Saccharomyces cerevisiae S288C: one gene and its partners. The gene in region 1 interacts genetically with each later gene. Each region holds a gene or a part of one and is shown in the gene's direction. Other genes may lie near its edges.

Region 1 (4,584 bases):
AACATTTGATTTACTAAATTTTGAAATCGGCCGCAGAATAAAACTATTATGTCCAAACAATTGATGGTCGAACCAACGTTAAGGGTTTCAAGTATTGAATTGAACTTTTATGAGTTCTATAATTTCGTTGCGCAAATTCAACTAAACCACCAATATCCCCCCTACAACGCTACACTTTATACCGATAGAGGAATAACGCATAGAGCCTTCGTAGAATTCTTCAACTCGTACGTGATGGGGATTCTAAACCTATCGTCATGTCGCTGTACAAGGCTGCTGCCTGCTTTCAAATTCCCAATTTTACCATGTCCGTTTCGCTGAGCCGAATCGTCACACAAGGTAATTAGTTCTGGGTATCGCTTCAGTATAGCACTGGTTTTTTCCTTGTAAAACCACAGTCTAACAATTAAATGAAGCTTTTCGAAGAAATTAGACCATGTTAGACTGAAAGCAAAGACTCCGGCCCGTTCTGAGGTAAGTTCAATGAAATTGGACAGTTTCTTTTCAAGGTTAGGTTTTGTGTTCGAAAAAAATAGATTACCGCACCTCCTTTCCAAACCCCATGAGTTTCCATTAAGGAAGAGCAACGTCAATAATACCACCTTTTGCAGATGTGATTCAACTCAAGATGCTGTAATCTTTCCCTTCTGACCCTAGATCACCTCATGATATCCTTTTGAGGCAATTAAAGCTGCAGTGTAAACTGTTGAATATCTTTTTGAAACCAAAAAAAAGGACGTTCCACACTTGGCTGCTTTCTTGATAAGCGAGATCTTTACTTGGAGATCTCGCTTAGTCCTCCGAAGGGTAAACCCCGTCTCTTATCTTTAAAAAAATGTATCAGACCCTTCAGCACGTGACAGACAGCAAACTACCAGTCGACGAGGATGCTTTTCCGAAAGTCATGACACAAGGGAAGGACTGTAAGATCGATATCGGCGCAGTCTTATCGGATGTTCCAAGTCCTTGTCTCTTTCATTATCTGCTTGCTATCGCAAAAAAAAAAAAATCAATTTGTTTAATATCAACACATAATGTACAAGAACAAATCATGACATACAAAAGCCATATAAGATGAGTCTTCAAGCAGCACCAAGAGGCCTGAGGCAGAGCAAATGTTGGCTCGCTATTCTTTTGTAAGCAATCTGGTACTCACCAACCTCCAACTATGAGATCTTTAAATACCCTTTTACTTTCTCTCTTTGTCGCAATGTCCAGTGGTGCTCCACTACTAAAAATTCGTGAAGAGAAGAATTCTTCTTTGCCATCAATCAAAATTTTTGGTACCGGCGGTACTATCGCTTCCAAGGGTTCGACAAGTGCAACAACGGCGGGTTATAGCGTGGGATTAACCGTAAATGATTTAATAGAAGCCGTCCCATCTTTAGCTGAGAAGGCAAATCTGGACTATCTTCAAGTGTCTAACGTTGGTTCAAATTCTTTAAACTATACGCATCTGATCCCATTGTATCACGGTATCTCCGAGGCACTAGCCTCTGATGACTACGCTGGTGCGGTTGTCACTCATGGGACCGACACTATGGAGGAGACAGCTTTCTTCTTAGATTTGACCATAAATTCAGAGAAGCCAGTATGTATCGCAGGCGCTATGCGTCCAGCCACTGCCACGTCTGCTGATGGCCCAATGAATTTATATCAAGCAGTGTCTATTGCTGCTTCTGAGAAATCACTGGGTCGTGGCACGATGATCACTCTAAACGATCGTATTGCCTCTGGGTTTTGGACAACGAAAATGAATGCCAACTCTTTAGATACATTCAGAGCGGATGAACAGGGATATTTAGGTTACTTTTCAAATGATGACGTGGAGTTTTACTACCCACCAGTCAAGCCAAATGGATGGCAATTTTTTGACATTTCCAACCTCACAGACCCTTCGGAAATTCCAGAAGTCATTATTCTGTACTCCTATCAAGGCTTGAATCCTGAGCTAATAGTAAAGGCCGTCAAGGACCTGGGCGCAAAAGGTATCGTGTTGGCGGGTTCTGGAGCTGGTTCCTGGACTGCTACGGGTAGTATTGTAAACGAACAACTTTATGAAGAGTATGGTATACCAATTGTTCACAGCAGAAGAACAGCAGATGGTACAGTTCCTCCAGATGATGCCCCAGAGTACGCCATTGGATCTGGCTACCTAAACCCTCAAAAATCGCGTATTTTGCTACAATTATGTTTGTACTCCGGCTACGGCATGGATCAGATTAGGTCTGTTTTTTCTGGCGTCTACGGTGGTTAAAGCCTGATCAGTGACTTTTCATCACACTGTGTTTTTATATAGTTCTTAGTAGTAAATATACTCTATAATTTCTACATCCTTTTCATGATGTGCCAGTTAAGCTATTTTTAGCAAACAAAAAGATGAATTTGAGTATTGAGCACATCATTCACTGTTCAGCTGATACAAAACATATGATTTCTAATATTCACATAGGAAAAATCGCTCCAAACATCGAAGTATCATCGCTACTTTGGTCTTTTATCTGCTTCTCTTCTCTTCGCTCTTTTCACTGCTCGTGCCGCTGCAACGCTCCAACTCAGTTCTATCTCAGCTCCTTCCCCTTATCCCTTGAGCAGTGTCAAGGCGAGGCTGCGTGATGTATTCGTGCGCGAAAAAAAAAACAACTGCAGCACCTGAGTTTCGCGTATGGTCACCCACTACACTACTCGGTCAGGCTCTTACCAGCTTAACTACAGTTGATCGGACGGGAAACGGTGCTTTCTGGTAGATATGGCCGCAACCGATAGTTTAACGGAAACGCAGGTGATATGAGGGCAGGGTCCAGACATGTTCAGTAGGTGGGAGTGAGAGGTGTTATGGGTGGAGGACAATTTTTATTATATTTCATCTAATAGCAATAGGATATGACAGGTGAAAAAGCAAAAGCAATAGTGCATTGTGATGTGGAGAATAAGGTGCATACGATGAAAAAGGTGATTTGTCATTTACAAGAGGTAGGTCGAAACAGAACATGAAAGTTGGTCGGTAGGTGGCATGCAGAGGTAGTTTCAAGGTGACAGGTTATGAAGATATGGTGCAAAAGACAAATGGATGGTGGCAGGCATAGTAAAATGATGGTGTGGAAGACATAGATGGTATTTGTTTTGCATTTACGGCACCGGATGCGGGCGATAATGACGGGAAGAGATTTAGTATGTGGGACAGAATGTCGGCGGCAGTATTGAGACCATGAGAGTAGCAAACGTAAGTCTAAAGGTTGTTTTATAGTAGTTAGGATGTAGAAAATGTATTCCGATAGGCCATTTTACATTTGGAGGGACGGTTGAAAGTGGACAGAGGAAAAGGTGCGGAAATGGCTGATTTTGATTGTTTATGTTTTGTGTGATGATTTTACATTTTTGCATAGTATTAGGTAGTCAGATGAAAGATGAATAGACATAGGAGTAAGAAAACATAGAATAGTTACCGTTATTGGTAGGAGTGTGGTGGGGTGGTATAGTCCGCATTGGGATGTTACTTTCCTGTTATGGCATGGATTTCCCTTTAGGGTCTCTGAAGCGTATTTCCGTCACCGAAAAAGGCAGAAAAAGGGAAACTGAAGGGAGGATAGTAGTAAAGTTTGAATGGTGGTAGTGTAATGTATGATATCCGTTGGTTTTGGTTTCGGTTGTGAAAAGTTTTTTGGTATGATATTTTGCAAGTAGCATATATTTCTTGTGTGAGAAAGGTATATTTTGTATGTTTTGTATGTTCCCGCGCGTTTCCGTATTTTCCGCTTCCGCTTCCGCAGTAAAAAATAGTGAGGAACTGGGTTACCCGGGGCACCTGTCACTTTGGAAAAAAAATATACGCTAAGATTTTTGGAGAATAGCTTAAATTGAAGTTTTTCTCGGCGAGAAATACGTAGTTAAGGCAGAGCGACAGAGAGGGCAAAAGAAAATAAAAGTAAGATTTTAGTTTGTAATGGGAGGGGGGGTTTAGTCATGGAGTACAAGTGTGAGGAAAAGTAGTTGGGAGGTACTTCATGCGAAAGCAGTTGAAGACAAGTTCGAAAAGAGTTTGGAAACGAATTCGAGTAGGCTTGTCGTTCGTTATGTTTTTGTAAATGGCCTCGTCAAACGGTGGAGAGAGTCGCTAGGTGATCGTCAGATCTGCCTAGTCTCTATACAGCGTGTTTAATTGACATGGGTTGATGCGTATTGAGAGATACAATTTGGGAAGAAATTCCCAGAGTGTGTTTCTTTTGCGTTTAACCTGAACAGTCTCATCGTGGGCATCTTGCGATTCCATTGGTGAGCAGCGAAGGATTTGGTGGATTACTAGCTAATAGCAATCTATTTCAAAGAATTCAAACTTGGGGGAATGCCTTGTTGAATAGCCGGTCGCAAGACTGTGATTCTTCAAGTGTAACCTCCTCTCAAATCAGCGATATCAAACGTACCATTCCGTGAAACACCGGGGTATCTGTTTGGTGGAACCTGATTAGAGGAAACTCAAAGAGTGCTATGGTATGGTGACGGAGTGCGCTGGTCAAGAGTGTAAAAGCTTTTTGAACAGAGAGCATTTCCGGCAGCAGAGAGACCTGAAAAAGCAATTTTTCTGGA
Region 2 (3,742 bases), on another chromosome or scaffold:
ATAATATGATAGATTTCTTTCAAATATGCGGACACTTTGGAAAAATTGTCGGGATCATAATACGCCAATATTAATAAGGCTACCAATTGACCATAACCCACTGAATTTTCTACCAAAAGGTTATATTTCTTCAGTTCGTATTTTGACTTTTTTAACAAATGCCTTAATAAGGTGGTTTGTTCCTTGTTGAGCAGCTTAGAGGATATCCAACTAAATTTGAACAATTCTTCATGCAACGACGGTATTAGTTTACATAATGATATGGTTGTTAGATCATTTATATTTGGAACAGTGCTTGAGACGGCGATAAACATTTTACCAACTATGGAAGCCTGGGACACTTGCCTTTCATGATTCACTAATTCATTAGTAAATGATGCAACATCAGAAAGCTTGAGGGGAGAATTTTCATCGTTTTTATTTATGAAATCAAACAGTTCAATAAACAAAGTCCTCAACCAGTCTTCCTTTTCATCATTTGACTCCAGTGCAGTGAAATCGGAGCAGAGAGTTTTTGATCGTTCAGGCCAGTTTCGTATCACCTCTTCCGTTAAAATGCTTGCCTGACTAGGGGAAGCTGGTGGTATCACTTTTTGAGAAAGAGCGTTCAATTTGGAAAGTAGCGTCTGTTCTGCCATAAAGTCCTGAAAATGTATACTGGTGCGAATATGTATCAACTGAAACCGTTTCACCCTATTATGCTTTAGATAAAGACGATAAAATCACAGCCCTATAATTTATGCAACAGTGTTTGCTTCTAAATCAACGTGTTCCCTGGGCATAAACTCTCATACGTTATGTCGCTATTGAAGAAATAGCGGAAAATCTTACGCCGAAGTTAGCGTTGTCACCCGGGAAGAAGAGAAGAACATAAGCCTTCTCATTCAGAACATGTAAATAGTGGCTAAAATGGTTATATTACACAATTCGAAACAGTGAAATTAAGAAAAGAAATGGTATGTTACGTTCTATTGCGCTTTAGTTTGAATTGAAATCATCTTTACCATGGTACTAACTACGCTTGCGATGAATCGTGCAAGTCCGTGCGGCTTATACGTAATGCTAATACTCAAAACAGGCGGAAAAGCAGAGGCAGTTGAAGTTGCAGAAGATATACAAACAAAAGTACATCGGACTGGGAGATGAGAGCACTACACGAGAACAGTGGCAGAGAAATGTGAGAAACGATACACTAAATACATTACAAGGCCACTCCGCATCTTTGGAGTACGTTTCATTGAGCCGAGGAGACCTTAGTATACGTGACACTCGTATTCACCTCCTGAAATCCATGTCCCCTGGCTATAAAGCCTACTTACGAGAAGAGAGGTAGGACGTTGAAGCCACATCCATAAATAATTTTTACATAAAATTACGCCTCGTATGTCGTTCTCAAGATTTATGGTAGAGATCACACTCAGTCAGTAACCTTTTAGGCATTGATTCTAGTAACTGTCGAACATTATTAACCTTGATGTTTATATAAAGATATAAAATGTTGGGACAGTATACAATTCATATCGTTTAAAATGATCTATACATGTCGCGTGAAGTCATAAACAGGGATTTAGAAGTGAAATCTTTTGGTAGTATAGGGGAAAACTCAGCTTGAAACTTTTCGTAATTGAGTAGGCCAAGTTGCAACCGTGTGAAATCGAATCATGCCTGACTCTAAGTACACAATGCAAGGTTATAACCTTGTTAAGCTATTAAAAAGGCTAGAAGAAGCCACTGCAAGATTAGAGGATGTCACCATCTATCAAGAAGGTTATATTCAGAATAAATTGGAGGCATCTAAAAATAACAAGCCTTCCGACTCCGGGGCCGATGCGAATACTACGAATGAACCTTCTGCAGAAAATGCTCCTGAAGTAGAACAAGATCCGAAATGCATAACTGCGTTCCAATCTTACATCGGTGAGAATATTGATCCGCTGGTAGAATTATCAGGAAAGATCGACACGGTGGTCTTAGATGCTTTGCAGTTGCTAAAGGGAGGCTTTCAATCGCAATTGACTTTTTTAAGAGCTGCTGTGAGATCAAGAAAACCGGATTATTCTTCTCAAACTTTCGCTGATTCTTTAAGACCTATCAACGAAAATATTATAAAGCTGGGTCAATTGAAGGAATCAAACCGTCAAAGCAAATACTTCGCATATTTGAGCGCTTTATCTGAGGGTGCTCCTTTGTTCTCCTGGGTTGCAGTGGACACTCCCGTGTCTATGGTCACAGATTTCAAGGACGCAGCACAGTTTTGGACTAATAGAATTTTGAAAGAATACAGAGAGTCTGATCCTAATGCTGTTGAATGGGTTAAGAAATTTTTGGCCTCTTTCGATAATTTGAAAGCCTACATTAAAGAGTATCATACTACTGGGGTTTCCTGGAAAAAAGACGGTATGGATTTTGCTGACGCGATGGCACAATCAACGAAGAATACAGGTGCTACTTCATCTCCTTCGCCAGCAAGTGCTACAGCGGCTCCAGCACCACCACCTCCTCCACCAGCCCCACCAGCTTCCGTCTTTGAAATCTCTAATGATACACCAGCAACGAGTAGTGATGCTAACAAAGGCGGTATTGGCGCGGTCTTCGCCGAACTAAATCAGGGTGAAAATATCACTAAGGGTTTGAAAAAAGTAGACAAATCCCAACAAACTCACAAAAATCCTGAATTACGTCAATCCTCTACAGTTTCTTCCACAGGAAGTAAATCCGGTCCACCACCAAGGCCAAAAAAGCCATCAACATTGAAAACTAAGAGGCCTCCTAGAAAGGAATTGGTAGGAAACAAATGGTTTATTGAGAATTACGAAAATGAAACTGAATCTCTGGTTATTGATGCAAATAAAGATGAGTCTATCTTCATAGGTAAATGTTCTCAAGTTCTTGTTCAAATAAAAGGAAAAGTTAACGCTATCTCGTTGAGTGAAACTGAGTCATGCAGTGTTGTTCTTGATTCTAGCATTTCCGGTATGGATGTCATCAAATCCAACAAGTTTGGCATTCAAGTTAACCATTCCCTACCTCAAATCTCCATTGATAAATCTGACGGCGGTAACATCTATTTATCCAAGGAATCCTTGAATACTGAAATCTACACCTCGTGCTCAACTGCTATTAACGTCAACTTACCAATCGGCGAGGACGATGATTACGTAGAATTCCCAATCCCTGAACAGATGAAGCATAGCTTCGCTGATGGTAAGTTCAAATCTGCTGTTTTCGAACATGCTGGTTAATATTGCGAGGAGCATTAATTGTATTTAGTTAAAAGAAATAAATCACATTTGAATCAATCAGAAAGAAAAGTGAATGAATAAACAATTATATACTTTTTGTAAAACCTTTTTTTCATGTGTAACCTTTTCTTAAAGAAGTAACAGGAAAACGAGGAGCGACTAAGTGACTACTTGATCGTTCGAGTAGAACTTAAAAACAAAAAAAATTAAATATTTACAGTGTAAAGAGAGGCTGAAGATCAGTCAAAAGACGCGTGCAACAATACACGACGATCATTTACCATTTCTCAAGTAATACATATATGCACGTTCATGAACAGGAACATCAAATGGTGAAATTACTTCGGATTGGCCTGGTCGAGCGACGGGATCCCTTAGGTATACAGCGTGGCATGTCTTGAAAGATATTTCCAAATGATGAGGTAAAATGGCGAAAGGCGATAAAAATGGTCTTGGCTTCCATGGTGTGAAAAAGGGTTTTTTAGGATCTTGCCTACCAT
Region 3 (3,399 bases), on another chromosome or scaffold:
GGGCGTTACACGTTGCAGAAACTTAACAGAATGAGGACCAGATAACTTACTTTGTAACATATGAGAAACATCAAATAAACCAGCGTTTGTCCTGGTCCAATTATGTGATTCAATATGAGTCTGTCCCTTGTATAGTACGGGCATGGAATATCCTGCGTATGGTACCATTGTACCGCCTAATGACACATGAAGGTCATGAAGAGCAGTTTTTTTCAAAGTTGAGTTGAATCTCTTAAACACAATTTTTTTGATTATAGACATTATTGCTTGTGCCAGGCAAAGCTCTTTCTACATATGTGAGCTACGGGTACTGTAATTGGATTTGTTTGGGTTCAAGGTGCTATATATATGATATTTGGACCTATTCTTTTTGACATACCGTTTACTCGAGGCAACACGAGTCAGGGCTCCTGAGCAGAGTCGCCCTGCCGAAAGAAGTCACGGCGATGAACAAAATAGGTGATATCTATGACCAGCTCTAAGTAAGAACTCAGCTTCCCGTGAGCATGGTTCTAATGGAGTAAAAGCGCCCATCGAGATCCAAGAATGCAAAAAAAAAATCAATAAGCTTGTGTGGGTAAATACGGATGTTAGTCGCATCGAGCCGATTAAAAGTGGCGCAGATATAGAAGGCAAGGACCTCATGACAGATCGTAATATCTATCTTTCTCCAAGTCCATTGTTTCAGCTTCGAAATCCCATAAACGTGGGCGTATTTTGTTGTTCGTATTGTTGCCTTCTATTTGGCTTTTGGTATCTTCGATTGCTTTAACTATACCGTCCACGAGGACTGCGCGCCCTAGATTTTCATTTGTAGAAGGAATGATCAAATCTGCAAAAGTTCTAGTGGGCTCTATATATTGTTGCATCTCCGGGCGCAGATGGTCCATATACTCAGTGATCAACTGGGCTAGTTGTTCATTGCTCCCTACGTTCTTCTTCTTGATTAGACTAATTAATCTTTTATCTGCATCACTATCCAAGAATACTTTTAATTGAGATATTTCGTTGATGCGTTTATCGTATAGCGCATAACAGCCACATACTATTATCAAATCTATCGGGTCCTCGTAATCATGTTGAATCATGTCATTTTGAGAAGTTACAGCGTGCTTTTCATATACCAAATTAAGGATATTATCAAAATCATAGTCGTTATTATTGTAGCTCTTGATGTTCCCTTCTATCATATTATCTAGGTTTATTACCCTTATATTGATAGAGTTATATAGGCTTTTGAAAGTATTTTGTAAATCCAGTGCAATTGCTCCAACACCAGTAGCATGCCCTCCACCGATAGAAATAACAATTCTTTTTTCTTCGACAGCTTTTCTGTCCATTTCCTGTAATATTTATCTCGCTAATTGTTAATGCAGGAAACGAAAATTAAAAACGATTTCCCTTGTGGTATGCTCTAGGAAAAATGTACAGATAAATTGAATTATCCGTGATGGCAGCGTACAATCCATAGTTGCTTACTATTTGATCTGCTTTTTCTATCAGTGTCGAGAATTTATGCCGAAGTTTGAAAATTTTATTTTATGCGATGAGCTAGATAATAGCAGGGCCCAGACAAAATAAAAACATGAATTATACACAAATTTTAATATAAAAGGGCCACCACTCCTTCAAGAGGTATAAAAATTTGTTCACTCAAATAAAATAGACCGTACAGAAACAAAAAAAAAACTCATTAGACATGTCGTTTGACAGAGAAGAAGACCAAAAATTGAAGTTTAAAACATCGAAAAAATTAAAGGTGTCTTCTACTTTTGAAAGCATGAATCTAAAAGATGACTTACTTCGAGGAATATACTCATACGGTTTTGAAGCACCATCCTCTATCCAATCAAGGGCTATTACACAGATTATTTCGGGCAAGGACGTTATAGCACAAGCACAATCAGGTACAGGTAAGACAGCAACTTTTACAATCGGCCTTTTACAAGCTATTGATTTAAGGAAGAAAGATTTACAAGCTCTAATACTATCTCCAACACGTGAATTAGCAAGCCAAATTGGGCAAGTAGTAAAAAATCTAGGGGATTATATGAATGTCAATGCATTTGCCATTACAGGTGGTAAAACTTTGAAAGACGACCTGAAGAAAATGCAAAAGCATGGTTGCCAGGCCGTTAGCGGAACACCAGGAAGAGTATTAGACATGATTAAGAAACAAATGTTGCAAACAAGAAATGTTCAAATGTTAGTTTTAGATGAGGCTGATGAATTATTGAGTGAGACACTAGGTTTCAAGCAACAAATATACGATATTTTTGCAAAATTGCCTAAAAATTGCCAAGTTGTTGTTGTCAGCGCAACAATGAATAAGGACATTTTAGAAGTAACCAGAAAATTTATGAATGATCCAGTTAAAATCCTAGTGAAGAGGGATGAAATATCACTTGAAGGTATCAAACAATATGTCGTTAATGTTGACAAAGAAGAGTGGAAATTCGATACTCTGTGTGATATATACGATTCTTTGACCATTACACAATGTGTGATATTCTGTAACACCAAGAAAAAAGTAGATTGGTTATCTCAGCGGCTAATCCAATCAAACTTTGCTGTAGTCTCCATGCATGGTGATATGAAACAAGAAGAAAGAGATAAAGTAATGAATGATTTTAGAACAGGTCATTCTCGTGTACTGATATCGACGGATGTTTGGGCGCGCGGTATTGATGTCCAACAAGTTTCTTTAGTCATTAACTATGACCTACCAGAAATAATAGAAAATTACATCCATCGTATCGGTAGAAGTGGTCGATTTGGTAGAAAGGGTGTGGCTATAAACTTCATTACCAAAGCTGATTTAGCAAAACTTAGAGAAATTGAAAAATTCTATTCTATCAAAATAAATCCGATGCCAGCAAATTTTGCAGAATTATCATAAAATATAGAGAACATATACCTACATAAACAAGTTAAGAGAGTCTCATCCATGCGGCTTCATTTTTGCTTTCATACGGAATTGGAGAGCATTTGTAATTGTTCATTTTGTGTGACGTAGAGTTTAATTAAGTCATTCAAACTCAAATCGCGAAGAAAAGGAGACAGATCGCAAAATTGTGAAATTACATCGAGCTCAATGTCCGAGTCCACTCTGAATCTATCACTGTCAACGCTAAGTTCTTCCTCTTCATCATTAGATTTATCATCACCATGTGATGATAATGTTCTCATTTGGTTTTCCTCCAAGCTGAGACTATTTGTCCTATGTGACAAAAGCTCATATTGGTCGCTGATTAGTGTGATATCCTCAAGAGATCCCGATTCATCCAATTGGACAATTATGACATTTTCAAGTTCATCTCCGACCTTATCTATTCCTGCTGTCAAAGCAGCATCACTTGAATCTACTAGTTCATCATTGTTGTCCTCAAATATGTACTT

The links.
Region 2: mutations in YLR154C-H (region 1) and SRV2 together harm fitness less than expected from each alone (positive genetic interaction), as found in Saccharomyces cerevisiae (one large-scale study listed by BioGRID).
Region 3: mutations in YLR154C-H (region 1) and FAL1 together harm fitness more than expected from each alone (negative genetic interaction), as found in Saccharomyces cerevisiae (one large-scale study listed by BioGRID).

The regions. Positions count from the first base shown.
Region 1 is NC_001144.5:466,990-471,573, reverse strand, and holds YLR154C-H (uncharacterized protein), read left to right. Parts: upstream 1-2,615; coding exon 2,616-2,747; downstream 2,748-4,584. Other genes in the region: asparaginase ASP3-1, read left to right, coding at 1,169-2,257.
Region 2 is NC_001146.8:365,080-368,821, forward strand, and holds SRV2 (adenylate cyclase-binding protein), read left to right. Parts: upstream 1-1,661; coding exon 1,662-3,242; downstream 3,243-3,742. Other genes in the region: THO2 (Tho2p), read right to left, coding at 1-638; U2 snRNP complex subunit YSF3, read left to right, coding at 954-956, 1,079-1,333; mitochondrial 37S ribosomal protein uS4m NAM9, read right to left, coding at 3,516-3,742. UniProt on the Saccharomyces cerevisiae protein: The N-terminal domain binds to adenylyl cyclase, thereby enabling adenylyl cyclase to be activated by upstream regulatory signals, such as Ras. The C-terminal domain is required for normal cellular morphology and growth control.
Region 3 is NC_001136.10:485,105-488,503, forward strand, and holds FAL1 (ATP-dependent RNA helicase FAL1), read left to right. Parts: upstream 1-1,699; coding exon 1,700-2,899; downstream 2,900-3,399. Other genes in the region: GCV1 (glycine decarboxylase subunit T), read right to left, coding at 1-261; putative uridine kinase DAS2, read right to left, coding at 642-1,340; ATG31 (Atg31p), read right to left, coding at 2,968-3,399. UniProt on the Saccharomyces cerevisiae protein: ATP-dependent RNA helicase involved in 40S ribosomal subunit biogenesis. Required for the processing and cleavage of 35S pre-rRNA at sites A0, A1, and A2, leading to mature 18S rRNA.